Linked DNA regions of Astyanax mexicanus. The protein of the gene in region 1 purifies or fractionates together with the protein of each later gene. This does not show direct contact. Links are inferred from orthologs where the notes say so. Each region holds a gene or a part of one and is shown in the gene's direction. Other genes may lie near its edges.

Evidence for each region.
Region 2: the proteins of histone deacetylase 2 (region 1) and zeb2b purify together in Homo sapiens (affinity purification with western blotting; 4 studies listed by BioGRID and IntAct, with this or other methods). This does not show direct contact. The link is inferred for Astyanax mexicanus from reciprocal best matches to the Homo sapiens genes HDAC2 and ZEB2.
Region 3: the proteins of histone deacetylase 2 (region 1) and mier1b purify together in Homo sapiens (co-immunoprecipitation; 6 studies listed by BioGRID and IntAct, with this or other methods). This does not show direct contact. The link is inferred for Astyanax mexicanus from reciprocal best matches to the Homo sapiens genes HDAC2 and MIER1.
Region 4: the proteins of histone deacetylase 2 (region 1) and smarce1 purify together in Homo sapiens (co-immunoprecipitation; 3 studies listed by BioGRID and IntAct, with this or other methods). This does not show direct contact. The link is inferred for Astyanax mexicanus from reciprocal best matches to the Homo sapiens genes HDAC2 and SMARCE1.

What each region holds. Positions count from the first base shown.
Region 1 is NC_064408.1:38,903,605-38,911,448, forward strand, and holds the start of histone deacetylase 2, read left to right. Parts: upstream 1-4,828; 5' UTR 4,829-4,971; coding exon 4,972-5,023; intron 5,024-7,844. Other genes in the region: heparan sulfate glucosamine 3-O-sulfotransferase 5, read left to right, coding at 1,211-1,296, 1,519-1,981, 3,183-3,638. UniProt on the Homo sapiens protein: Histone deacetylase that catalyzes the deacetylation of lysine residues on the N-terminal part of the core histones (H2A, H2B, H3 and H4).
Region 2 is NC_064412.1:34,805,440-34,812,433, forward strand, and holds the start of zeb2b (zinc finger E-box-binding homeobox 2b), read left to right. Parts: upstream 1-3,993; 5' UTR 3,994-4,314; intron 4,315-5,922; 5' UTR 5,923-6,051; coding exon 6,052-6,124; intron 6,125-6,994. UniProt on the Homo sapiens protein: Transcriptional inhibitor that binds to DNA sequence 5'-CACCT-3' in different promoters. Represses transcription of E-cadherin. Represses expression of MEOX2.
Region 3 is NC_064415.1:898,376-905,248, forward strand, and holds the start of mier1b (mesoderm induction early response protein 1b), read left to right. Parts: upstream 1-3,870; 5' UTR 3,871-3,905; coding exon 3,906-3,929; intron 3,930-6,008; coding exon 6,009-6,033; intron 6,034-6,164; coding exon 6,165-6,307; intron 6,308-6,873. Other genes in the region: natriuretic peptide Na-NP-like, read left to right, coding at 251-499. UniProt on the Homo sapiens protein: Transcriptional repressor regulating the expression of a number of genes including SP1 target genes. Probably functions through recruitment of HDAC1 a histone deacetylase involved in chromatin silencing.
Region 4 is NC_064426.1:13,043,681-13,051,590, forward strand, and holds the start of smarce1 (SWI/SNF-related matrix-associated actin-dependent regulator of chromatin subfamily E member 1), read left to right. Parts: upstream 1-4,902; 5' UTR 4,903-5,014; intron 5,015-6,306; 5' UTR 6,307-6,350; coding exon 6,351-6,357; intron 6,358-6,973; coding exon 6,974-7,017; intron 7,018-7,459; coding exon 7,460-7,564; intron 7,565-7,910. UniProt on the Homo sapiens protein: Involved in transcriptional activation and repression of select genes by chromatin remodeling (alteration of DNA-nucleosome topology).

The sequences.
Region 1 (7,844 bases):
TTGAAAGGTCTATAGGTCACTCTATCTATATATGTCACAGTTCTCTTACAAACATTATTCCAATTCCCAGGAGAACCCAGAATTTCTGTCACTGCCTTTCATCTATTGAGAATCAGTTCACACAATCTGGCTCACATGAGTACTGACTAATTACAGGTGTGTCTTATTTAGTCCTGTGTTTCTTTTTGTTGTCTTTTTTCTCCCCGATTTGAAAGGCAATCCCTAATCAGCTGAACTTCCTCTATCACTATTAATGCATTCAATATTAGGAAGGGGAAGACTGGTGCATACCTCCTCTGAAACATGAAGTCAACCACTGTCTCTTTTTGATCCGCCTCTAATGCAGCATTACTGGTTAGCTCTTGGACTTCTATACATCAGATAACAGACGCCAGTGCTGACCAATATTACATTTGGAGAGCACCATCTACCCACCCCTGAGACTGCAAACAGTGCAAAATAGTGCTCTCTTAGGCTCTGACTGCTGATGGTAAGCAGCATGATAAGGAATTAGCGATCCTCAGATAATAGTGGCTGAACCTTTTGGAGTCTTAATTGCCATTTTGGATTTGCAACTCACACTTTATACCCATACATTTTTTCAGTTATGAGGCTAATAGAGGTAACTGCATGCCTTTGGCTTTCCCAGAACCACAGTGTTTCTACATGTTTGAGCCAAAGATATTGAAATGTCCAGGCTAGCATGGAGCTATTAGTAGTTCTTCCTACAGCTCTCTGTAAAGAGCTGCAGTCCTACAGTTATGATGAAGGACCTGGTTGTGCTTGGTGTGGTCTCTGCGTGGAAGCAGGGGTTACAGTGTTCTGCTTGTAAGTTCTTGAAAGAATTTTTACATTAGGCTCACAACAGCCAATTACAGCTGCAGTAAACACTAAAAGTAGAATACTCAGTACTCAACTCTGAATACAGAATGTTGTTTTCTGTATGCTATACTGAATGCTTAAGACTGAATACACTCTAGTGAATACAGAACATTAAATAGTGAACACTGAAGACTAATAATGCTCAACAATGCTGAACGCTAAATACTGCATACAGAATGCTATATACAGAATGAATACAGACCTTCTGAACGTTTAATATAGAATACTAGTTTCTGAGTGCTGCATATTGAATGATGAATTCTTAATACAAAATCATATTTTTGTGTTTTTGCAGGTGTAGTTGGTGTGTGTGATGGGATGATGGGAGATGTTGTTCCCCCAGCTGGCTGTGCTGCTCAGCCTGGTGCTCGGGACACTGCTGTACCTGCTGACTCACACAGTTCACCTGGAGAGGTGAGCATTCATCCTGCACTTTACCACTGTATACCTCACCACTTCATACCTCCCCACGCTCTACCCAATCATCTTACATGTCAGTTCCTTACACTTCACCCCCTCACACCCACCCACCCATTAAACCCCACCACTTTACACTCCCACACAACTTAAATATATTCATAATATTAAAACACCCACAAGCTTGCAACCCACTGATGTAAAAAAAATTATCTTCAGGCTGCATCAAATCTGCCCCATCAAGAGCCGACCACACCCTGCTCGTGATCCAGTGCAGTTCCCCTTTCGACCACCAAAGTATAAGCGGGGTCTTCGGCAGGATCTTCGCAGGGGCAACACCACTAAGGGGCACCTGATCCAGGAGCTGCCCCATGCCATTATCATTGGAGTCAGGAAGGGTGGCACTCGTGCACTGCTGGAGATGCTGAGCCTTCATCCCGCCATGGTCAAGGCCTCACAGGAGGTCCACTTCTTCGACAGTGATCAGAATTATGGCAGGGGTGTGGCCTGGTACCGCCGCAGGATGCCATTCTCCCTCACTGGCCAAATCACTATTGAGAAAAGCCCCGCCTACTTTGTGACGGAGAAGGTCCCGGAGCGGATTTTCAGGATGAATTCCTCCACAAAGCTGCTGGTGATCGTCCGCGAGCCAACGATTCGTGCAATCTCTGATTACACACAGGTAAAGATGCACTATATTCAAAACACCGAAACAGTGGTGAGGCACATATTAAAATTACCATGGTACATGACTTTAAAGGTCTCATTCCATAGTTTTTTTGTTAATTTTAAAATGTCTAGTTGTGGTCTCTAGTATGAATGAATGCCATGTGAGATGTTTTTTTGTGAAAAAAAGTGCTCCAGTGTTTCTGTATAGCCCTACTTTAGTTCACTGAATTAGTGGTCTCTGAAGAAAGACAGGATTTCAACTCTTGCTCTTGAATACTCATACATGCAAAAATATCACCTCTGATTGGCTAACAGCATTGCGGCAGAGAACACCTACCTGCCTTCCCCCCACAGTCAATTTTACAGCTCTAAAACTCAAAGGACAAAATATTTTCATAGATACAGCCTTAGTTAAAGATATAGCACGCAGTGCTAGGTAAAGTAAAAAAAATGTCTTGATATATGTGCAGAGAGAAGAGAGGAGAAATGACAGAGCATATTGGAATGCAAAATAATCTATATCAATATAAACTATATTGTCTCGTCTCGTTCTTCAAATCTCAAAATTTCACCCAGCCTCACCTCCATCTCTGCTTACCAACCCTAGCTTTCTCTCTCGCTTCAAAAAGAAAGAAACAGCTGAACATGGGATTTAGATGCCCAGTTGGGTTTGTCACTTTTGAATACCAAGCTGACTAAGTGAGTGAGCAGTCTTTGACTCCACCACAGTTTCTTTCCTTAGCATTTTGTCATGTTCACTGCAGTATCAGTTATTTTAATAATCAACATTATCGTTAATTTTGACAAATCACTGCAGCCCTACTAAAAGGTCCAGATGGAAAGTCCAGTTCAAAAACTCAAGATCAAAATCATAGTGTTGCTCCAGTGACCTGTAATGTGGAGAAAAGCATCCCTATGGTGGCTACTCTGGGTTCTGCTAACTGCACTATGCAACTCTGGTGAAACTGGGATGTTTCTTTTACTTTTTTAATGCAAATTCTGCCATTCTCTTGTGAAATTCAAATGTGAATATGAGCAAAAATATACAGAATTCCAAAAAGAATGGTTTAATGTGGCAGTAGTAACAGGTTAGCTATATGCAGTGTGTTTGAGCTGCAGTCAGACAGTCAGCTCTCTCGCTGTAAAAAGATCATGTTAGTAGTCAGAACTTGTACAGTTTCAGAAAACCTGGTTTCTCTTGTCACTGCTTGTAGGTGCTGGAGGGAAAAGAGCGCAAGAATAAAACGTACCCCAGGTTTGAGGTGCTGGCCATCAACCCCAGCACCCAGGAGGTGAACACCAAGTACAAAGCTGTCCGCACCAGCATCTACGCCAAACACCTGGAGCACTGGCTGGAGTTCTTCCCCGTCCAGCAGTTTCATGTGGTGGATGGAGACAGGCTGATCTCAGACCCGCTGCCTGAGCTCCGTTTGGTTGAGAAGTTCCTGAACCTTCCACCTGGTATCAGCCAAGAGAACTTGTATTTCAACTCTACACGGGGTTTCTACTGCCTGCGCTTTAGCCGCCGCTTCAGTAAGTGCCTGGCGGGCAGCAAGGGCCGGCCACACCCGGACGTGGACCTGGCTGTGCTGGATAAGCTCAGGCGCTTCTACCGTCCATTCAACCAGAAATTTTACCAGATGACTGGGAGGAAATTTGACTGGCCGTGAGGAGGTCGAATGGCAGATCTTTTTAACCAGGGGGTGCTAAACTGCTGTCCTGCTTACAACTATAAGCAATTAAGATGAAACATAACTTTGTAACTTTGAAATATGTAGAGCTATTTTTTTACTAAATGCATTAATGTTTGCCTGTAAATAAGATTTTCGTCTTGCATATAAACAAACACAGTATATACAAAAGTAACACAGGTTAGTCTGCATTCTACACATGTTGAACCCCCCTGACTGTTAATAAGCTGAGCTGTGAGATCTAAAATGGGGATTTGATCAAATGTAAAGTTAATGTTGGTGATTGTTTAATGATGAAGTGTACTATACATGATGCCCTTCTTGTGTTCCTTAATAATTAATTCTGACTGAATTAATCACTATAATGCACCACTCTCATAATACAGTACAATTCAATCAGTCTCTGTTTTAATAGCTTGACGAGGTGGACAGCACATTGTATATAATGAAAAATAAATAATAAATATAAATAATAAATATAACATAAATGTAATAATCTGTCTATCCAACTATGTGTATAACTGTATGTACATCTATCTATATCTATCTATCTATCTAACTGTATGTACATCTATCTATCTATCTATCTATCTATCTATCTATCTATGCATAAATATTGTGTCTCTAATAATTAGTGTTATCTGGCTAATATATCAGATTCAACTGCGCCTTATCAGCAGTTTGGCTGGGTTGGATCAAGACTAGATCACTTTCTCACCATGATGCAAACCGCTCCAGAGCTTTTTTTGGGACTGAACTGAGACCAGATCCTCATAGTAGGTTTTATCTGCTTATTTGGATCCGTACAGGTGCGACTGCTGTTTTCACACCTGCTCAATCAAACCGCACTAAGAGTACAAACGAACCAGAGTCTGTTTTAACCTAACCAAATAGTGCTGGAGTGAAAACGCCCTCAATGACAAAGTATAATTTTTTTTGTGTCATTTGTTTAACTGGGTTCTCTTATCTACCTTTTATGACGATGTTTCAGGTCGCATTTATGCAGAAATATAGACAATTTCAAATTGTTCACTATTGTAACTTTCAAGCACCACTGTGTCTTCAAATATAGGCCAAACTAGCTAACAGCTAACTGTAGCCTATCAGAGTAACCCTGTAGCCTATCAGAGAGCGCTGGTGCTAAGCAGGCCCCGCCCTCGATTAGAATAGGCCCCGCCTCCTCCTTCTCCTCCGTCTCCGTGCTCCTCATCAGCTCTGTAGTTACCTGTCTCTCTCCACCGCTCCTGCTACATTTTAATCTGTATTTAATCTAATCAGCGCGCTCTGGTCGCGGGGATCGTGTGTGTGGAGCATGGCGTTCACTCTGCAGGGCACCAAGAAGAAAGTCTGCTATTATTATGACGGTAAGAGGGAACGGAGCGCTGCTCAGGCCTGCCCGCCAGAGAGAGAGTGATAGAGCGAGCGAGAGAGAGAGTGAGGGGGATAGAGAGAGGGATAGAGGGCCTGGGGGAAAGGAGTAACGTTAAATGGGTACAGGGACAGAAAGAATAAACAGAGACAGTAAATATAACCGGGTGTGAGAAATCCTGATTAAACCTCAGCTATTCTGAATGTGGGTTCTATTAGCACTAGTGCTAATGCTAACTGGCGCTGCGCTTTTGTGTCTCGTTGTGGGACTGCAGCTCTCTCTCTCTTTCCCTCCCTCCCACACACTCTATGTACCTGTTACACATACACATCACACACACACACTGTATTATTATTTATTTGCGAGGTTGCAGTTGGTATCGTATTGAACAGCCTTTTACTAATTTTCAGTTCCACCTTAAATTACGGTCAGTTAGCTAACTAACTAATGTTGTGGGCGACCGAGGCGACAGAGTGTTAAGTGGTGCACTATTTAAGGTGGACTGGAAAGATCCGAAGCCAACATGCGTGTAGTAACTACTAACGCTAGCTAACGAGGCTGAAGTTGGTTTGATATTCGCAGCTCCAGATTCGTTTGGCTCGATATTCGCAGCCTCGTATTCCCCGGCTGAAGTTGGTTTGATATTCGCAGCTGCCGCTTCACTGAACCACCGTGAACTAAAGGGAGCGTTCACAAACACCCGCTGTTTATATTAAACACCTCACAGATCAACACTGAAGGAGATAGAATGAAGAAAAGCAGTACATCTGTTTATTAACAATGTAAATATACAATATCGTATTAAATGTAATTTTGTATATTGTAAAATATTTATTTTAATTACTGAATTTATAATTATATATTACAATAAATAATTAAATATATATTTAATAAAATTATATTTTAAAAGCCATTGCGCTCAAAAAATATGAGGCAGATGTTCAAGTGTGATTTTGAAGAACTTTTTCATGTTGGGCCAGAACAAATACACATGATCTGAAGAGTACTAGTCTTCTTCTTTAAGGAAAACCTGGAATTAGCCTGGCCCGAGCTGATTTTATACTTTAAAATTAACTGGCAACGTGGCCTACCGATCCATAATGCACAAAAAAATTGAATATAAAGCTGATGTTCTAGTGTGATTTTGAAGGACTTTTTAATCTTGGGCCAGAACAAATACACATGATCTGAAGAGTACTAGTCTTCTTCTTTAAGGAAAACCTGGAATTAGCCTGGCCCGAGCTGATTTTAGACTGCACAATTAATTGGCAACATGGCAGCACAAAAAAAATATTATTTAAAGCTGATATTCCAGTATGATTTTGGACTTTTTTTTCAGACCAAATACACATCAGATGAAGTGTTCTGGTATTCTCAAAATCAATGCTTTATATTCATTATTTCTGTGCAAAATGGCTTTCATGTCATGTTGCCAATTCATTTTAAAGTATAAAATCAGCTCGGGCCAGGCTAATTCCAAGTTTTCCTTAAAGTAGAAGACTAGTTCTCTTCAGATCATGTGTATTTGTTCTGGCTCAAGATTAAAAAATTCTTCAAAATTGTACTGGAACAGTGGCTTTTTTGTGCAAAATGGCTCGTTATACCATGTTGCCAGTTCATTTTAAAGTATAAAATCAGCTCGGGACAGGCTAATTCCAGGTTTTTCTTAAAGTAGAAGACTAGTACTCTTCAGATCATGTGCATTTGTTCTGGCCCAAGATGAAAAAGTCCTTCAAAATCACACTAGAACATCAGCTTTACATAAAAACAATTGTGCATTATGGATCCGTATTCCATGTTGCCAGTTCATTTTAAAGTATAAAATCAGCTTGGGCCAGGCTAATTCCAGGTTTTCCTTAAGGTAGAAAACTAGTACTCTTCAGATCATGTTTATTTGGTCTGGCCCAAGATTAAAAAGTCCTTCAAAATCACACTAGAACATCAGCTTTATATTCAATTTTTTTGTGCATTATGGATCGGTAGGCCATGTTGCCAGTTAATTTTAAAGTATAAAATCAGCTCGGGCCAGGCTAATTCCAGGTTTTCCTTAAGGTAGAAGACTAGTTCTCTTCAGATCATGTGTATTTGTTCTGGCCCAAGATTAAAAAGTCCTTCAAAATCACACTAGAACATCAGCTTTATATTCAATTTTTTTGTGCATTATGGCTCGTTATACCATGTTGCCAGTTCATTTTAAAGTATAAAATCAGCTTGGGCCAGGCCAATTCCAGGTTTTCCTCAAAGTAGAAGACTAGTACTCTTCAGATCATGTGTATTTGTTCTGGCCCAAGATTAAAAAGTCCTTCAAAATCACACTAGAACATCAGCTTTATATTCAATTTTTTTGTGCATTATGGATCGGTAGGCCATGTTGCCAGTTAATTTTAAAGTATAAAATCAGCTCGGGCCAGGCTAATTCCAGGTTTTCCTTAAAGTAGCAGACTAGTTCTCTTCAGATCATGTGTATTTGTTCTGGCCCAAGATTAAAAAGTCCTTCAAAATCACACTAGAACATCAGCTTTATATTCAATTTTTTTGTGCATTATGGCTCGTTATACCATGTTGCCAGTTCATTTTAAAGTATAAAATCAGCTCGGGCCAGGCTAATTCCAGGTTTTCCTCAAAGTAGAAGACTAGTACTCTTCAGATCATGTGTATTTGTTCTGGCCCAAGATTAAAAAGTCCTTCAAAATCACACTAGAACATCAGCTTTATATTCAATTTTTTTGTGCATTATGGCTCGTTATACCATGTTGCCAGTTAATTTTAAAGTATAAAATCAGCTTGGGCCAGGCTAATTCCAGGTTTTCCTTAAA
Region 2 (6,994 bases), on another chromosome or scaffold:
GAGAGAGAAAGAAGGAGAGAAAACACTCTGAGGATGTTCTCAGAGACAGGAAATAACTTTCCCCCCTCCCTCTTTCTCTCTCTCTCACACACACTCTCTCTCTCTCTCTAACTCTCTCTCTCTCTCTCACACACACACACACACACACTCTCTCTCTCTCTCTCTCTCTCTCTCTCTCTCGCGCTTGCTCTTTTCCTACCACCTGTGTGTACTCTGCTCCATCCCTGCTGCAGATGTGAGATTTTCTGGGACTTTCTCATGGACTTCCTTTTCTCTACTGGTTGGGAGAAGCCAAAGGGAGCAGGCACTGTGAGAGAGCACACACACACAGAGACATATATATATATATATATATATATATATATATATATATATATATATATTATATGTCTTATAAAACACACTTCCGGATGAACGCATACATCCACTTACTGTCCTTACTGCTGTTTTCAGTCTCTTTTCTCTTTAATAAATGAATAAATAAATTAATGAATGAATGTGAAACTATGTTGGAGCGACGTGAACAAATTTAGATTTACGAATAAAGATTTATCTCCAATGCCTGATCTGATAACATCAGATATTTATCTCCTGTGCCTTTTTTTAAAGAGATTATTCATTGGACGTGCTGCCTTAGGCACGGCACATTTACAAATACTAACTAGCAAAATAATGTAATAACAGTGCTATATTTAGGGCTACATGATATTGATAATGAAAAAAAATAATAATTATCTGTTGTTTTTAATTATGTATTGTGATATATTTCATATCTAAATAAATACAGGAGTTTGCACCAAATACACCAATGATTCAGCAGGTTGTGATATTAATAATTCCTTATACGTACTGAAGACTGAAAAAATGTACTGAAAAAAAAAATGAGCCAATATATTCAGCTCCAGGTAAACAGGTCAATATAAATTTTTGTGTTTTGGGATTGATTAAATTTGCGTTACATTCGCACATATGCAAGTCCTGCAATGTGAATACTGCACATGCAAACATTGTTATAATAATGATGATGATGATAATGATAATAACATTAAAATGATATACTATGCAACCCTAGCTGGAATAAGCTGTATATGTCTGTATGCCTTTATTGTGCTTCATTTCAGTCAGTTCAAAGACTATATTAAGAACAGAACAGAAGGGCGAGAAGACCGAGAAGACGACGACAGTCTACAAACGGGAATGTGAGGCGTTTACATTTGACAGACGAGACGTTTTTCCTCCGCTTGCTCTCAACCCTGCGTTTACAGTAGTTAAGCATGTTTAAGCATTCCTGAATACTTGATATTAAAGCTATTTTTAATATATTTTAGCTGTAAAAGTCTGTTTGATTAATGTCTGTCTATTGAGAATGCTGACTAGAGAACGTATTCTCGTTAAGGTGCCAAAAAAAAAAAAAACAACCATATTATGTAATTAACAAAGCTTTGTGTCTTAAAAATGGCAGTATTACAAAAAATACTTTTAATAAAAGTCATTTTGCTAGTCATTTTGCAGCATTTGTATTGGTTCACTCATCATGAAATATTGACACAATTTAATTTTGTGTTAAAAAAGGGGAGAAACTGTAAAAATGAGTATACAACCATAAATATGATTACATATATGTTTGCAGGCATTCTATAAATGTATACATAAAGCATGCTATTTCTGATCATAATGTGTATATAATGTGTCATATATAAATGTCAGCCAAATTAAGTCTGTATTATGCGACTCATCATACAAATAATAAAATAATATTACAGATGTGATTGCAAAATAATTATGATTTATTTATTTATTTAAACCTGATTAATCTGTTATCTGCTATTACTCGTTCGCCTGAATGGCAGCACTGTGCCAGACATTCGTAAAGGTGTCATGAAGAGATCAGGTCAAGCCGCAAAAAAAACCAATGAAAGTACACACATATATATATATACTCACAGGCACACACACACACACACACACAGCTTTCAGAGGGAGGGTGCTAAGGGGTGTCCTGTTTCCTCTCTTAAACCAGGAGGAGCTGCTGAGGTTGGGAGGTTGGAGGCTGTGTGCAGTGAGATCGGGGCAGCGATCAGCCTGACAGCGAGAAAACAGAGCAAAAAAGAGAGAAAAAGCAAAAAAAGAAAAGAAAAAGAAGAAAAATGTTTAAAACTCATATAAGCCTGAGATTTCTCATTTCACATTATATATTGTTATATAATGCAGCACCTCTCTATATGTGGTTAGTCAGTGTGATATGCATGTAATCCAGTACTTACAGTAAGTGTAGCTGCTTTCTGGGGATCCTCCAGAGCGGAGGTCTCTGCTGCTCTACCGGGACTGTGAAGCCTGAGGGGTAAAATAGTCAAACCCATCAGACTTATTTGATAGAAAAGACAGAAAACACAATAAAACTTGTCTACAAATTTGTTGAAAGTAGTAGAGCAGATTACACAGTGCCAGTAGGCTATATTTAATTAACATAATTAACAAGTATAATTTTTGTGTGCATACAACAGCAAAGAGCATATATAACAAATGTACTTAAAACAACATCAAAATGACTATGAATAATAAACAAAACAAAACAAACAGAAAAATATATATATATATATAATTATAATTATAAATTGTGAAGATTAAGTAAAAATATTTTTAAGCAAAATTAGGATAAATATTTTAGTGATAATAATAATAATAATAATAATAATAATAATAATAATAATAATAATAATAATAATAATAATACCTGTGAATTTCCTGCCTCAGTCCCGTTGACTGGAGCTCCCCCTCCCGCATCTGCCGCCTCCTCAGCTCCAGATGTTGAGGATGTTAAGGCACCTTTCCCGCCTGCGCCCCGGTCTGATTGGCTTTGAACAAAAGCATCAACTGATCCTGCAGCCCCGAAACCCCCCACCCCCAAAATAACCCCACCAAAACAAGCCCCCCACCCCCGCATCAGCCCCTAAATCTCCCCCTCACCCCCCGGATTGATGATTTAATTATCCCTCCGGTAGATGAGGACGGAGGGAGCGCTGCTTTATTTACCCCACCAATCCCATCCCCTCAGAAAAGGTGGGGCTTCCCAGTCTTCCGTCGGATTCTAGCGGACTACGAAATAAATAAATAAACAAATAAACAAAAAAAATAAACACATTTTAGAAACAGTCATAACCGGTTCATAACCACGCCCAGCACGGGCGCGTGCCCATTTTTTTCTTTTTTCACATTAGCTTAAAAATTCCCGTGTACATGTTCCTTTATGTGCTAAAACGGTTTAAAATAGATTAAAAATATTCTATCACCCCAAACAGAACAGTATTACTTTACTTCCAGCTTAAAAATAACCGGGTTTTTTTTGTTAAATCCATGTCGGATTTTGTTTTACCTGTTTCTTCTTACCTGTCACCTGGCCACCTTCCCTTTAAGAGCGGCGCGCGTGGCGCGAGCCCGAGTTGTGGCGGGAAATCCGCGCCGCTTCTGAGGCGACGACGGGTGAGGAAAGTCTGTGAGGGAGAACTCGGCAGCACAACGAGGCTTAAAACCGAATTAAAACACAAACCCCACCGAAAAAGACGACTTCTTTCCCTCTTTTTCTCGTGCCGGGGAAAACTCTGACTCGTCTCAGTCTAAAACCTCGTCCTTTCTGGTGTTTAAATCTTTTGTTATTAAAATATAGCTACATTTGTTTTGTGAAGATGTTCCTCTCCGTCTTCACGTTAGCTTAGCTTTACTTAGCGTATTTATTTGGAAAGGTAAAGCGAACAGGTCGGGGTTTGGTTTCTTTTGCCTGCCGCGCTGTAAAAAAACCGAACGGGGAAACGGGAAGGGGGAAAAGGAGGAAAAAAGAAAGCGAAGGAAAAGTTCTCACGGTTCCCAGAAGATGCTCACGTTTGGTCCTCCTCAATTATCCCTCCCCGTGAAGATAGGTGGCGCGTGTTTCAGCCTCTTCTCGCTCTCCCCCATTCTCTCTCTCTCACTCTCTCTATCTCTCTGTGTTACAGCAAAGAAAAGGAGAGAGAGAGAGAGCGAGAGAGAGAGAGAAGAAAAAAATGTCATTAGAGGAGGCGTAACACGTCAGTCCGTCCGCAGGTTGGTTTCCTGGAGTGGCTGAAAGGGATCAGTCCCAACCTGCGCGCCAGGAATAACGCTGCTCCAGCTACAGCCCGGGCTTTTTACCCTTTTTGCCACATTTTACCCCACGGATCCGCTTTCTTCCCCCTCTTCCAAAAAAAGCCCCGCCACGGCTGCTCTACAAACCCCCCTTTTTTCTTTCCTTTTTTTATATTCCTTGCAACCAGCTCGACTAAGACAAACGTAAACAACAAGGTAAGACTTGTTTCCTTCTCTCTTTAAAGATGTGCAATTTATAGGCTTCAAGACTTGGAATATGTATTTAGAAATAAAGTGAATATTTATATTTATAGATGTAGTTCAAAGTGGAAGATGAGAGTGGGAGTGCGCTGGAGAGATGCGCTCACCTTTAAGTTCACCTGTACAGGTGAACTTGAAAAAAAAGTGTGCTTGTCGTTTTTGTAATTATTCAATGGACGATTTATTAAGATCAGGATTTATTTATATGAACAACATCTGAATTCTTAAAAAATCAATTTTGTACATTTTTCCCATTATTGTGACTTTAACAAATTCAGTGCTGTATATGGATATTAATATTTTTTAAAGTTACTTCTCCCTTTGTTGTATGTCAAGCTATGAGGATGACAGATAAAACAAAAATAGATATTAATTGGTATATTTTCACAAATATGATGGGACAGTGAGTGGTGAAATCTAACGGTGCCTCGCGCCGTATGTTATCTTTGTACACTTAGTCTAAATCGCTTTTCCCTGCTCTGCCGTCCTATTACAAGACAAACTCCTGCAGCAGCACAATGTTTTAATGATTTTACTAAAATAGGACATTAGAATGAGGATGATGAAAAAAGTTTTAATTGTTTAAAATTAAAGTAGTCAGCAACTATTTATTTTGCTTTTAAGTGTTTGTACTTTTCAAAAAAACAAACACACAAAACAAACATTATAACACCCAAGCAAACAAATGGTTTATATTTTAGTGAACTAAAAAATAATAAAACATTATTAACAATAATGATTATAAGGTATAGCAAAATACGTGAAAATTGTACTAGCAATACTATCACTACTACTACCACTAGTACCACTAATACAGTTTTGTAGTAGTAATAATTGTAATAGACAACAACAAATTTAATTCATTAAAGTTTTTAATCGTTTTTTTTTTCTTAGCCAATTTTTTCCTTTACATTACAAAATACTTAATACTTTCCCAATGGTGTCTACATTACAGTTCACAGTTAACAGTAAACTGGTAACACCACAATTTCAGCACCAAATGTTATGTATATTTAAAGTCCATTTTCCACAAACAAGTCTAAGCGTGTAAATAATATCCCACACAAATTTTCAGCGTTAAGATCTCTCCTGTTTACCGGTCCTATGTGTGAATACACTTGTTTACTTGTTTTATCTCCTTTTATTTTGTGTGCAACAGTTTGATATATGTATAAATAAGCTCATCACCAGTCCCGGCTCTGAAAGCAAACTGAGACAGCAGTCTCCCTATAGTATTTAATACTATTTAATTCATGCCTACATTTAATTTAATACAGTTATTCCTACAGCCGTGCATGTCCCATTGAAGCAGTGGACCCCGCCACCACCCACCACCGGCGGTGTGTAGCTCCTAGCCCCCCGCAGCCCCTCACTCACTCACCCGCCCACGGTTTGGGGCACTTTCGTCTCCAACGTTCCGTTTTATTTTCTACGTTATTTCCAAGCGCTGATGCGGATGGTCCAAAATTTGCGCCTGTACGTACCTGCGCGTGTGTGCGCGCGCTTTTGCGCTAAAGAGAGCAGCGCCTGCATTGTTGTTCTGTGTGTGTTTGGTTTTGCCAGAGACTGAGGCTGCGCGCTGCTGACTGACTGACTGAAGGAGTCGCGTCCATGCGAGCTGCTGCCATCTGATCCAGACACACACATCCACACACACACACATCCACACACTCACACACACACTCCCCATCAATGAGGCAGCATATCATGGCGGATGGGCCCCGGTGTAAGCGGCGAAAACAAGCCAACCCGAGGAGGAAAAACGGTAAGCTGAATTTATTAAATAGTAGCTTAATAACACTGATAGTGGGCTGAAGAGCGGTGGTCGTGGTGGGACTGTGAGTGTCTCTGTGAGAGAAACAAGGAGTGAGAGAGTGAGAGCGAGAAAAGGAGAGAGAAGAGAGAGAGAGTGTGTGTTGATGGTCGGAGGGTGGGGGGTAAAGCTCCGGCTGACGGGACGCGCATGGACGCGCATCGCGTGATACCGTTATTTTGTTATTACCGCTGTGCATCTCCTCATTGTGGGGTTAAACGAATCGGTTTCAAAGGGAAAGCGAAGCAAAACCAGTGTTGTCCACCACTGGCAGAGCTTCTTTTGTGTAGATCTGATTTATTTTGAGGCGTGCTTTCAGCTCGCGCTGTTGGAAGTTGGAGCGAGTGGAGTGGAGGAAAAGTTTTGCAGCACGCGGCTCGTTTGCTTCACGCTACAGAATAAAAAAGCGCTTTTAAAGTTGCGTGTCAGTTTACGCTGTTGTAAGGCGCTCTAACGATGGCACTGGCGTCAATAGCGATTTGTATGATAATACGGCTGGCAGCACGCTCTCTTGTTTGTGGGAGGAATTATTTTAATAATAATAATAATTATTATTATTATTATCATCTGATACATCTAATAGCATCAGCGGTCGTTTTCGTTCATTTCATTTCGTTTCTGGCAATTATAAATTAAATTGGATATAGCTAGATAAAGCTCATGGAGTTGATAGTTATAGGAAAACACTTTTCTTTATAAATTGTACTTTTGTGTATAATGCTTTTTATGTTGCACACTTTTATTCCGTCGCTTTTCTCTTGTTATTATTCTAAGTGACATTTGAGCTATGGTGTGTTTTATCGTTTTTAAAAGAGTGTGTGC
Region 3 (6,873 bases), on another chromosome or scaffold:
CCTGTGTTTCAATTTACCTGTGTGTTAACTTGTCTGTGTGTTAATTAACCTGTGTTACCTGATTGTTAATTAACCTGTGTGTAAGTGTATGTGTGTGGTACATTTTTGGTAAATAACCAGTGTTACCTGTATGTTAATTAGACTGTGTGTTACCTGTATATTGATTAGACTGTGTGTTACCTGTGCAGAATTAACCGTACATAAATTAACCTGTATGTTAATTACTTTCTCTTACCTGTCTGTGCTCCAGGTGCCAGCAGCCAACGTGACGGTAACTGTCGCCACCCTGCGGGCTAATGTGACAGGTGTGGTTCAGGAGGCGGAGTCACGAGGGAGGAGCTCAACACCTGTACGGAAAAAACCTACAAACAAACAAACGAACAAGCAAACGAACAAACGTGAGAAACGTAAAAACTGCTTCGGGTTTAAGATGGACCGGATCAGCGACCTGAGCGGGATGGGCTGCAAAACGGCAGAAGTGGCGCCACCTGGGAATTAGAGTGGAATTACAGCCTGAGGGGGCGGAGTTTACAGTGCTGAACGGACTAAAGACTGGATACTGATATATTACCCAGCAGCCCTGTGGAGATCCTGAACACTGTATCACACTTCAGTGACGAAAAGCCCCGCCCACTTTGCATCTCATTTTTATTTACGTAGAGAAGAAGGAGGCGGGGCTACACTTAGGAATGAAGTGATTGACAGCCTCGTCGAGTTGTAGTCCAGCTTTCTGATAGCTAACTAGTTACAATACTAGAGATAATGTTCCAGGATGCTAATGCTAGTTAGCATCACAACATTATTATAAAGTTTCTCACATAACATTCTTTTAATAACATTTCTTTTATTTTATTTATTATTACTTTTATTTTTTATTCTAATGTTTTATATTTTCATTCTTGTTCTTAGTTCTATTATTCATTTTATCATTTCTTACCATTCTTAACATTTTACTTTACTTTTACTATTATCTTTTTACTTATTTTATATTTTACTTTTTATGTGTCAATTAGTTTTTTATGGTATTTTAGAATTTTCTGTTGTACATTTATATTTTATTTATACATGTTAAATGTTGATTTAATATGTAGTACTTTTTTATTATTATTATTTTTTTACTACTTGATTCCTTTTTATTTCGAGTTTATTATTAAAGGCTTTTAATCCCTTTGATGTTGTAAATTATCAGAAACATTCTCTTAATGTTTTTTCCCGAGTGAAAATAAAGCTTAATTGATTGATTCCCATCCTGACGAATATTAACATTATGGAAACGGTAAAAGTTAAAAACTAAACATTTGAAACACTGACACAAGTGATGTTGCAGCAATGTTACCACAGCGTTAAAAAAAAATAGTCAAATAAAAATGTTCTAAGAACATCCATAAAATCCATTTTTTGTTAACTGTAACGATTAAAAAACATAGTAAATAGTAAATAGTAAAATATTGATTTAAAATTAGTACTTTTTTTTTTTTACTATTTTATTCATTTTTATTTCGAGTTTATTATTAAATGCTTTCAATCCCTTTGATGTTGTAAATGTTTGGGAACATTGTAAAATGTTAAATATCATGTTAAATAAAAATGTTCTAAGAACATCCATAAAATCCGTTTTTTGTTAACTGTTCTACTAACTAAATATTGTTAGCTGGAAAACTAGCTAACACCCAATCGATACGGTAAAAATAATATTATTTCTATTTTTTTCCCATTTTCTCCCCAATTTACTCAATTACCCAACCCACTCATTAGGACTCCTCCTATCACTTGTGATGCTCAATAGTATTATTACTCTCCTCACATTTACAGTATGTTCTGGTCTGGATCGAGTCCTAACAGCATTTAAAACATTATTTTTTGCTCTCTATATAAAACGATATATAGAGTATATTAAGTTCAGTAATGTTACAGGCCTCAGGCCCATGCGTCGCTGCTGCAGCTGCATCACTGAAAGTTTATTTTATATCAGTAACACTGATGCTATTATCTGATTATTGTTATTATTTTTATTACTATTTGTAAATACTTTCCTGCACATTTGTTCCTGCTTATACTGTACGTGTATAGTGTGTGTTAATATGTATGATTTGTTTTTTTGTTTTAAATAAAAAACAAATAGTCATGTTGGGTCAGTTTCCAGGTCATGAAATTAATGATGGGATTAAACCTAATCTGGGTCTGGGAAGATGATCCCGATGAAACTGTCACATAATAACACTGTTATCTAAATAATAAATACTGTTCTTTTATACCTTTTGACTTATTTATTTTTTATTATTTATTTGCTGCACTACACCCTGCATACCATATTCCCAGTTTACAAAAGATATTGATTCATAATTTATTTATCATGAAAATTATAGTGACATTTAATAAGATTTTTTCATCAACTAATAAAAGCTAAATGAAAAGGTGAAAGACTGACAAATTGGATACTTATCTATAATAAACAGTATTATTGATCAGTGATCGGAGTGCCCCACATATTGTGTAAATATAGTGGTTAATTAATAAAAGTCCAGATACAGAACGTCAGTAATGTTAGTAGAAACCTGTACTGCAGTAGAAGTGTTTAATTTTTAGTTACTTGACTTTATTTTTCTCATCTTTATAGCGTAGTTGCTTTAAAACCTTTTAATATTAGCATAATTTTAATGTACCGAAACCTAAAAGCTATTTGTTTTAATAAACATTAATAATAAATAAATAATCTCAAAATAATAGTACAAATCTAAAACAGTACAACAATAAATCTGTACATAAAAATCTGTTTTATTAGATTCTAAAACTAATGATGACTAAACAAGTAATATGTGACTAAAACTAGTATACATTTCAATTAAAAAACTGAAACTAAATCAAAACATCTGTCAATATTCACACCGTAACAGAGAACGCTATGAGAACGTTTATCAACGTTTTGAAACGTTTCATGAATGTTTCTCTGCTAGACCAATACTAACATTACGGAAACATTTTCAGTACCATCAACTAACATCAACTAAAAATTAAAACATTGACACAAGTGATGTTACCAGAACGTTTAAAAGTGTTCAATAAAAGATTTTAAGAACATCCAGAAAACTTGACAGATTTGAACGTTTTAAGAACGTTATCTGTAACTTTCAGAAAATGTTCTACTAACCAAACCAAGCTCTGCTCTTTCACTACTAAGTATAAATATTTGTATTTTATTAAAGATATATCACTTTTATAAGTTACAGAGGAATTACACCCCCCTCTGTTTACCTTATAAACATTAGTTGACAAACTATATATTATAAGATTTCTCCTGATAAATTATTTTTCAGATTCATTTATTTATCTAACTGCTTCTTACCTCTGTATTAAATTAACAGCTTAAATAAAACAATGAATCTACTGAAACTAATAAAAATAAATAAATAAAAATTAGCTTAAATCAATGGATAGCTAGCTAACTTTCCCATTCCACCTTAAATGGTGCAAAAGAAGGTAGAGGCTGCAGTATTTAAGGTGGAACTGAAAAATAAAATAAAATAAAAGCTAATTTTAGCTCCTTAACACCCGGTCTGAGACCTGTTCTAGTCCATATTATGGCAAAAACTACTCAACTAAGTAACGACAAAAATGAGTTTAGGAAAAAAATTAAGTAATGAAACAAAATCCCCTATGAAAAAACGTTATGATGGAACTGGCCCTCATAAGTTTGACCACTTCATTATTAATTTACAGTGTAGGAAAAATAATAAAATTAAAATAATAATAAAACAACCAAGGAGAATGTTTCTCCATACATATATATGGTGCTGTATATTAATTTATATTAATTCTAATTTATTAATAATTAAAGCAGTTTAATCACTCTGATCAGCTCTGCTTCATCCGGGTCTTCCCGCGGCCCCGCCCCCTGAGTGACCCGTATGCAGCGGCGGAATATGGCGGAGGTAGGACGGAAACTCTCCTGATTTCTCCTAAAAACAGGGAATAAAGTGCGGGATTTCTGCGGTCTCGCGCTCTCCCCGCGCCCCGCGCGCTCACCACGGCCCCGCACTCAGCCCCGCAGCGGCGCGCGGGCAGTACCGGGCTTTTCCCGCCTTTAAACTTGTTGATTTTAACACAAATACCCGCCACTGTAAACTTATTAGCACTGTTAGCCTGTTAGCGGATTTCAATCCGGATTAAAGCGGGTTAAAATAAAGCGCATTCCGCGGCGGCGCGCGGGTAGTGATGTAATAATACGGTTTTATTATTCCGGTGTTTTTTATTCAGTAATATCAGTTCTGTGAGCGGGTTACGGGCTGCAGTGTGTTAAATCTGAATCTGAGATAATGAAGCTAAAGCTCAAACTTCCACACTGTTCCACATCTCAATTCGGATCTAAATCCGCATTTAAATACACTTATAGGGCTGATCATTCACATTATACTGCATTTTAAATCATATAAATATAAAAATCAGTTTTACACTGCGAGTCTGCTTCACCAAAATCATCAGTTTATCTGTAATTTGGTTTAAAATTAAGTTTATTTCAGTGTAATTCAGTATACTTTGCCCGTCACTCCAGATTATCAATTTATATGACGGACAAACTTAATTATTTTTCCACTAAATTCAGTTTTACAGACTATGACCAGGTTGTTACATTAATACGTATTCAGTTTCATTTTATGTTGCCAGTTTATCACTAATTCAGGTTTAAATTCAGTTTAATTCAGTGTAATTCACTATATGCTGCCTATCAATCCAGATTATTATTATATACTGAAAGTCAAATCTTCATTTATTCAGCAAATGAAATAAAACTCCCTAAAACTAAAGCTGTTTTAAATATATTAATACTGTAGCTTGAATGATATTATATTTTAATGCAAACTAAACTGTACGTATTTATTAACTGGAGAGAGAAGGCAACTGTGGCTGATTTTAATACAGTAATGCCTCTAATGTCTTCAGAAAAACAATATAAATTGATATATATATTTTAAATACTTAAATGCTGAGTATATTGGGTCCATTTGTAGTGTTTATGGAACTATTTAAAAAAATAAGCCATGTTGAAGTTGTTGCATATCTTTTTCTAAAGTCTATTGTTCACATTCTTCAGCTGTTTTTCTGATAATAAAGTCTGAATAAGATAAATAAGATAAAATAAAAATACTGTGATATACATTTTTGGTCATACCGCCCAGCACTACTGTGTGTGTGATGTACAGCACGACGGTGGATTTATACTGTTCGTATCTCTGTTGGAATTATCAATTATACTGTAGTGACCTAAGTTCTCCAGCTCTCGAGAAAATTAAAGATATCACTTCAGTTTCTGAATCAGTTTCTCTGATTTTGCTATTTATAGGTTTATGTTTGAGTAAAATGAACATTGTTGTTTTATTCTATAAACTACAGACAACATTTCTCCCAAATTACAAATAAAAATATTCTCATTTAGAGCATTTATTTACAGAAAATGAGAAATGACTGAAATAACAAAAAAGATGCAGAGCTTTCAGACCTCAAATAATGCAAAGAAAACAAGTTCATATTCATAAAGTTTTAAGAGTTCAGAAATAATCAATATTTGGTGGAATAACCCTGGTTGGTTTTTAATCACAGTTTTTAATCATGCATCTTGGCGTCATGTTCTCCTCCACCAGTCTTACACACTGCTTTTGGATAACTTTATGCTGCTTTACTCCTGGTGTAAAAATTCAAGCAGTTCAGTTTGGTGGTTTGATGGTTTGTGATCATCCATCTTCCTCTTGATTATATTCCAGAGGTTTTAATTTGGTAAAATCAAAGAAACTCATCATTTTTAAGTGCTCTCTTATTTTTTCCTAGGTCTATATATATATATATTGTGATTTACGTTTTGGACGTATCATCCAGCTCTGAGCGTTAGTAATCCTTCAGGAACTGTGAAGCATCTAAATTATTGTTGAAGATGAGCTGATCATTCTCTGACCCTGTCTCTCTCTCTCTGTCTGTCTCTCTCTCTGTCTGTCTGTCTCTCTGTCTGTCTCCTGCAGTCCTCCTTGGGGAATTCAAGCCCAGGTAAGCCTCAGTCTGAAGTTGTGGGAGTTTCTCTGAGCAGATCTGTATCAGTGTAGATTGTGTTTTTGATTTCTGGTGGTTGTGAGGTGTTGTGGTGGATCAGGGCTGATGGGGGCGTGGTTCTGCTGCAGGGGTTTCGGTGGACTTCGACCCTTCGGCTGAAATGCTGGTGCAGGAATTTGACGATGAGCGCACCATGGAGGAGGAGGAGCTTATGGAGGGAGAGACCAACTTCCGCAACGAGATCGACGACCTGAACAGAGTGAGTAACAGAGTGAGTGCATCATTCCGTCATTTCATCATTATATCACTCCATCATATCCAGCCGGGTGCTTATTTCCAGCCTTCCATCTGTTTCAATGTGGAGAGGCCAAAATACTGGAAACCAAACGTCAGATTATCATTTCAGAAACATATTTTAGAACATTTTCACACCTGAAAATTCAGACCAGCTTCTGCACAAAAGGTTTATATGTTTATTATCAATCAATCAATTGACCTTTATTTCCACTCGGTAATACCAGGGTTCCCACGGGTCCTTAAAAAGTCTTAAAATACCTTAAATTAAAATCTTTATCATTAAAATCTTAAATTAGTGTAGTTAGTGCAGAGCTAGCTAACATTAACGGGAGAAAACTAAGGTTAGCTGTGTTAACTTTAGCAACGAGCTAGCTAAGATACTAACGTTAGCGGCGAGTTAGCTACGTCACTGTGGAGAAAACCAGGGTTAGCAGAGACCTAGTTAACATTAGCGGAAAGCTAGCTAACATGCTATATTCTGCATCACAATGGAACAAAATTGATAAATGCAAAACGTTGAGTTTTAATTTTCAATACACT
Region 4 (7,910 bases), on another chromosome or scaffold:
ATGATGTAAAGTGTCACACAGGTGGTTTTACTGTCCGATAACCAGCGAGGAATATCGTGTTTATTCCCGTGAAGAACTGCTGGCCCTTCGACCCGCGGGACGTGGGGGCATTGTCCACTCAATACCGGGGGAACTAAGGAGGAATTACCGAGGCTGTAGGGCCGGAGCTAAGCTAAAGGCTAAGCTAAAGGCTAAGAGTACGGAGAAGCGCTGGAGGTACAAACCCTCAGTTCCGTCGGTGGTTATGGGGAATGTCAACTCACTGACCAACAAAACCGACGAGCTAGCGTGTCTGGTGAAGAATCAGAAGCTCTACAGGGAGTGTAGCGTGCTGTGTTTCACCGAGACCTGGCTCACCCCCAACACGCCGGATGCTAACGTGGAGCTACATGTAAACGTGAAGGAGGTGATCTGCTGTCGGGATATTGAACTGTTAGCGGTGAGTCTCCGACCTTATTACATGCCGCGGGAGCTCTCTCATGCGATCCTCGTCTGTGTTTACATTCAGCCGAGAGCGGACGTACAGGCGGCGTGTGACGTCATCCACTCCACCGTCGCAGCGCTGCAGACACAGCACCCTGACGCCTTCTATAAGGCGTATTTTGAACATGGTCTGACATTGCAAGCCTTGTGCAGTCAGCAAAAACTGTTCTACAATTCAACGGAAAATTTTGCAGAGCCATGATTGCACTGACCTAAAGGCAGGGTAAACACTATGGATATAAAATGGCGGGGGTTACATTATGTGAAATAGGGGGTACATCATAGACACATGATTACAACGTTTCAGTTATGTGGACCTTGCGTGCAGAGTGTGTATGAGTATGTATGGGGCTATGTCACGGTACGTAGACACTGCGTTGTAACCCACGTAAGCGTCTTATGAATATGGAATACAATACGTTGCATGACATCATGTGTTGTCAGGCTGCCTTATTACAATGCAAATGTATGCATAGGCGCGTTTACCGATTGGATGTTAGATGCCAAAACGTGTATACACGAACAGTTTTACCGCCTGTACACGTGATTTTTTTACGTGTGGACACGTCATATTTTTACGCGTGGAGGCGTTTCTTTCCCACACGTTTTGGCTTAGTTGGCTTGCCATATCTATGTGATTACTGGTGATTTTAATCACGTAACGCTGGACTCTACACTGCCTGCCTTTTTCCAGTTTGTGGACTGTCCCACCAGGAAGAACAGAACCATAGACTTGCTGTATGCTAATGTGAGGGATGCATACAGGGCTATTCCACTACCACCGCTGGGGAGATCAGATCACAACCTGGTCTTCCTACAGCCTCAGTACAAACCACTGGTACTGAGGCAGCCCACTACCACACGCTCATTCAGAGTCTGGTCTCCTGAAGCAGAGGAAGCCCTAAGGGACTGCTATGACACCACTGACTGGAGCGTGCTGCTGCACCCACATGGCGAGGACATTGAGGGGCTGACTCACTGTGTTACAGACTACTTGAATTACTGTATGGATGTTGCTGTTCCCACAAAGACTGTACGCTGCTTTCCAAACAACAAACCTTGGATTACCAGCACCGTCAAGGACCTCCTCAACCAAAAGAAGAGGGCGTTCAAAGATGGAAACCTGGTAGAGCTGAAGCGCGTACAGGGGGAACTCAAGGTACGTCTTAAAGAGGCCAAGGAGTCTTACAGGAAAAAGGTGGAAAGAAAGCTGCAAGATAACAACACAAAGGAAGTCTGGGGTGCGATGAAAACCATCACTGGGTGCAAGAACAACAGCGGCAACCCAGCAGATGGGGGTGTGGACAGAGCAAACCAGTTTAACAACTTTTACAACAGGTTTGACTGTCCTGCTCCTGCTGCCCCCTCCTTCTACCCCCCTGCATCTTTACCATCATCTCCATCTCCACCGCCACCACCATCATCATCTCCATCTCCACCATCTTCATCATCATCATCACCACCATTACCCTCTCCTCCATCTTCACCACCACCACCACCAACCTCATCACCTCCATCATCATCTTCATCACCCTCACCTCCACCATCTTCATCACCACCATCACCCTCACCCCAACCATCTTCTTCATCATCATCATCACCACCAGCACCCTCACCCCCACCATCTTCTTCATCATCATCGTCACCACCATCAACACTATCAGCTAGCAGACAAATCAGCTCCTCCAGTCCACCAACCTTTACTGCAGACCAAGTCAGGAGACAGCTGAGGAGACTTCACCCCAGGAAGGCAGCTGGCCCGGACAGAGTGTGCCCCAGAATGCTCAAGGCTTGTGCTGTTCAACTGGGTGAGCCCCTCCAACATGTGTTTAACCTGAGTCTGCGTCTAGGGAGAGTTCCTGCCACGTGGAAGACAACCTGCCTCGTTCCAGTTCCTAAGAAGGCACACCCGAAGGAGCTGAATGACTACAGGCCAGTTGCTTTGAACCATCTACAGCTGAACATCTCCAAAACCAAGGAGATGTGCATAGACTTCAGAAGGTCCAGGCCCTCTGCTCAGCAGCCAATCTCCATCGAGGGGGTCAATGTGGAAGTGGTCAAGTCCTACAGATACCTTGGTGTGCACCTGGACGATAGGCTGGACTGGTCAGTGAACACTGACTCCCTCTACAGGAAGGCCCAGAGCAGACTGTACTTCCTCAGAAGGCTTGGGTCCTTTAACATCTGCCAGAAACTCCTGCTGATGTTCTACCAGTCTGTGGTAGCCAGCGTCCTCTTTTACGCTGTAGTGTGCTGGGGAGGCAGCATCAGCAAGAGGGACGCTGGACGACTGAACAGGCTGGTGAGGAAAGCTGGTTCTGTGTTGGGACTAGAGCTGGAGTCCTTAACACCACTGGCAGAGAGGAGAGCCCTCAGCAAGCTGCTGAACATCATGGACAATGTTCACCACCCTCTGCACAGCACCATCACCAGGCAGAGGAGCTCATTCAGCGGCAGACTGCTGTCCCAGTCCTGCTCCACAGACAGACTTCGAAAGTCTTTTGTCCCTCAGGCCATAAGACTTTTCAACTCATCTCAGCACAGCAAACTGAAGACTCTGTGACACCTTTTCTTTCCAGCAATTCTGTCCACACCATGGACATACCCCCATCTATGGTCACACTATCTTGCTGATGCCCATAACACTATTTTTATAGTTCTACCCTATTTTGCACTAGTAGTTCATTCACTAGTTCATTCATCTACTGTTTACGTATCATTTGCACTGCTAAATTTAAATTATTATATAACTGTGTTTGCACTTTCTGTATGGCGGACATCAGTTATCCTTATCCTTACTTTATGCACATCAACTGGTGTTCGCTGTCTATTGTGTTCAACTGCACTACCTCCATTTTACATCACACACACACACTAAAGACTGTATTTTTTTTATCTTTTTGTAACTTTGTGTACTATACACACCTGCTGCTGGATGTCTATCTATCTATCTATCTATCTATCTATCTATCTATCTATCTATCTATCTATCTATCTATCTATCTTTCTTTCTTTCTTTCTTTCTTTCTTTCTTTCTTTCTTGCTTGGATATGTTTTTCCAGTCCAGCTGCTCTCTCTTCCTCTCCCGTTCTCTCACTCTTCTCCCAAAAAAGCTCCTAGCCCCGCCCACTACTTAGACTTTTGACTGACAAGCAGATAAACTAATCACCTTGCAGCAACTAAAAAGATATCTCAACAGAAATTACTGAATTAAAATGTGAGCACAAATAAACTATTGTAAAAATGAATGAACTTGATGATTTAAATGAAGTTTTAATATAATTTCCTTGAAATCTCTTTTTAAATAACTGAAAAATTAAACAAGGCTACATAATAGACCAGTGCAGCCATGTTGTCAGTTTGTAGTTAGGTCCCCTTTCTACACTGCTTTTTTCTTTGGGCAAAATAAATGTGGTTTTCAAAAGCTCGCCTCTATCACATTCTGTGGTAAATAAATATGTTCAGAACCCTGTACGTTTCATTCTGTGTACATCACTGGATCCTCTGAATTATGAAATCGATTAAGTAATAAGAAAAATGCTAACTTTAAGCTCATGCTACAGCGCACTGAATTGATGGCACAGGCAGAGATATGACACCAGCAAACTCCGGATAGGTCATGTTTTTTATTATTATCCTCACAGGGAATCATTGATTAGTTTGATTTGATTAGTGCTCATACCAATATGATAGCACATAGAACATTCATCTGTTTCTCTAATCAAGCATCCTAATACCACAGCAGCTACACTGGAAAAGCATGGCACAGTGTTTAAAGAATGTTTCTGGAGTAACACTGTGCTGCTTGTTTTAGTGATTTTCTGCTGTAATCCTACCAGCTCACCTCAGAGAGGGTAGTTAGTTCATTAATTGGATCAGCTGTAATATGCTGTAAAAATAGGACTGGAGTTTGCTGGCGTTGCACTAAACTGAGAAAGCACTCTGCTGCTGTGCTGTGACGTCGGTTCAGTGCGCTGTAGCATTAGCTTTAAGCTAGCATTTTTCTAATAATGACTTATAAACGATCTCGTAATTGAGAGGATCCAGTGTTTTTCTGGAGAATTATGTACTCAGAATAAAACATACAAGGTTCTAAACATATTTATTTACCAAGGAATGTGATAGAGGCAAGTTTTTGAAAACCGTACGAGGACTACAGAATGACACATAACTGCAGTGGCCTATATTTTATGTTAAATGCTGAAGGGGAAACGCCCCCTACAGATATAATGCCCATGGTGTAATTACACAGAGCATGTTTAAAGAAAAAATATTGTATTTTATTATGTAATGTAATATTATATTATGTCCAGGTCATTATTTCTTCGTGTGTTTGTTGGAGTCTAGAAAACACAAGCCTACAGAGCGGTATAGACAAAGATACATTATCGGTACTGTGCTGCCCCCTGCAGTTCAGTGTATGTGGGACACTGTGGGGGTACTGTGGCTGCGCTGCCGCAGTGTTTAGGCCGGCCTGCGGGGGCAACACTGAGACCGTGCAGAGTCAGGCGGAGGGAACAAAGGAGCGCGGGTGAGTGTTTAAAGCGCCCAATATTTCTAAAATTAATCTTTAAAACTGGCAATTAAAGTTCGGATCGCCCTTCATATTGTGTGTTATGAGCCTTAGATCACGAGCCCGGCTGTTCGGGTCGGTAATGTTGGGTTATCTGTCGCCGGTTTCTGACTGTTAGGGTTTGGCTGCGATAGCGGAGCTTCATCGCATTCAACCGATTATTAACCTCACCGCGCTGCTGTTTTACTCCAGCTTTTTAGCTTTTACCAGAATGTATCCAGACAGTTTACGCAGTTTAGGAAAATAAGTGTAGAGACCGCTTTGTAAGTGTGATTTATGATCATGAGGGGTAATGTAGGTTAACGAGTTATATTTGTTGTAATTCTGACTATGAAAGGGTTGCCGTAGCTGCTAAAGGCTGGGCTCACAGATGGATATCCTCAGTCCGGGCTAAAGATAAAATTAGTATTTTAATTTTAGAGATTAATTAACTCCAATCACCCGACGTGTTTTCTATTATATAGAGTTACTTTATTATTAGTGAAAATCAGCCCACATTAGCTCTCACTGCCGAAGCTAAATTTAGCTAGCCTAAGGTAGATTAGTTTATTTGAATTGTTCGTTCCACCTTAAATGGTTACAGCAGGTTAGGGCAGCTCTCAAGCCCCGCTGTAACTGCTGCACAATTTAAGGTGGCACAAACAATTCAGACAAGCCAACTTCAGCTGCAGGCTAACACGCGCTAACGTGGACTATAACATTTCTTTTAACACTTTAATGTTTACTCACGTAGCCTTAATTACTTATCTCCGGTTTTTAATCTAATTTTAGCTACTGTATTACAATCCTAAACATGCTTAACCTCGCTAGCTAGCTTGCGTGTTTTTTTAGCAACGTTTATTTCTTTTATTCCGGTTTAGCTTAGCACAGGGTGCTAATCTGCTAATGCTAGGTAACTTGCTAACTGGCCCGAATGCTCGCACTTCTAGCTACAGATCGCATCGAGTTATTGTTTTGGGAGAGTTATTATTGCATCTCTGTTGTTACAAAATACACTTTAAACGTTACAATAGTTAAATATAACGTTTATGCCATTAGATTCGTTTGGTCAGTTAAAATAGTATGGTAGCTATATTCTAATAATGTTTATGTTGTTTAGTAGTCCAGGAGCTTGTATTGTTATAGTAAATCGTATAATCTCTATTCACATGAAATTGTTCAGGCAGATATAGTCATTTAGGGATGTTTTAATGTGCCATATGGGACTGAAAGCGTGCCTCTATGTCTAATCCATCTTTACCCTATTGTAGAACCGTGATGGAGTTAGCCTGATATCCTCAATCCTGCAAACAAGATGTCAAGTAAGAGCTCTAATTTTATCTGAAGGTCATCTGTAACCCTTGTCTGAGACCACCTGTATAATGCTTTGCTGTTATGAATGTTGTCTTAAGGCCCTGTATGTGAACCTCTGAACCGTGCAGCCTTTCTATGCCATTTGCAGGAACGGCTTGTTTAAAGGGGAACTTAGCCAGCCATTTAGAATTGTGTAATTCATTGTGTTTGATGAATTCATTTGTAGTGGGGTCTTGGTGTAAAATTGTGGCTTATTCTAAGCAAATTTACTCACTGATTCACCATAACTACAATACAAATGTAGCCATTTTATTTTCTATCCAAGCCCACCAATGAATGTGTATGTTTTTCTCAGAACAGTGTTCCATGCAAGTTTCTTTAGATTGGAGCATTTTACACCAAGCCGACTCCGAACGTCTTTGTTCACGTCATACCTGTTTAACTACACAGATAATTTAGGAAATTGATGGGATAACCCTGTGAGTGATGTGTAGAAGTGATGTGAGTAAGATTCAACTGAAGCGGATGCGAGGTATAAGTAGGTTTTAGTACTGCTTCGATAAATGGCAAACGTCTCATTGTAATGGAATAATGTCTGCCCTCTGTGTGATTTTTCTCTTACAGAGCGGCCCTCGTACGCCCCTCCCCCCGCCCCGGCCCCCACCACAGTAAGTGTTCCACCACACCATCCATAAATGACCACATCACCCACACCAAACCTTAAGACCCCTGGAAGTGTGGAAAGGACTGCGGGATGATGATGATGATGATGATGATGATGATTCTTCCATGGGGTGGCTCAGTAGTACATGTTCCAGATGTTACAGAATATCCAGCTTATGCTGAGTTTTTTTATTTTTTATTTTTTATTTTAAAACCATCTCATTGAATTTAAAGCCCCCCCTTCCCCCATAGTGTGTGTGGCTTGGCTTTGAGTGGGTGTAAAACAATGCCAGGTTGTGCTGCTGTCAGATTGCTGCTTTTTGCATGTCTTATGCAAATCATGACCAAAAAAAGCAAAAACAAATCTTCCTTTTTTCTTTTTTTTGTCCCTTCCTCCCTTGTTTGTGTCATTTCTCATTCGTGTTTTGTCTCATTTGTCTCCATCAGCAAATGCCCACCACCCCTGGGTTTGTGGGGTACAACCCATACAGCCATCTGGCCTACAACAACTACAGGCTGGGAGGGAACCCCGGCGGGAACAACAGGGTAATGGTAGGACAAAAGGAAAAAGCAAAACTGCGTAGCTGCAGCAGAGGAGCTAGAACCCCAGAGCAGAACTGCCCGAGCTGACAACCTGGGCTGTAACCCAAAAGTCGTGCTATTTTACTCTAGTCTGTTTTACTACTTTTAGTTTGGAACATGGGCTTCTTATATTAGGGGGCGGAGCAAGGAGAGACTTGATATCATGGGTAGCTGATGTAGATCTTAGATGCTTCTGTACTGTCCTCTTCCTCACTCCTTTTGTAAACCACTTGGCCCACTCTGTCCACTCTGATTTTAAGTTACAGGTTTCCAGTGTTAGGACATCACCCTCCTCATTAGTTTGCATGAGTGCTAT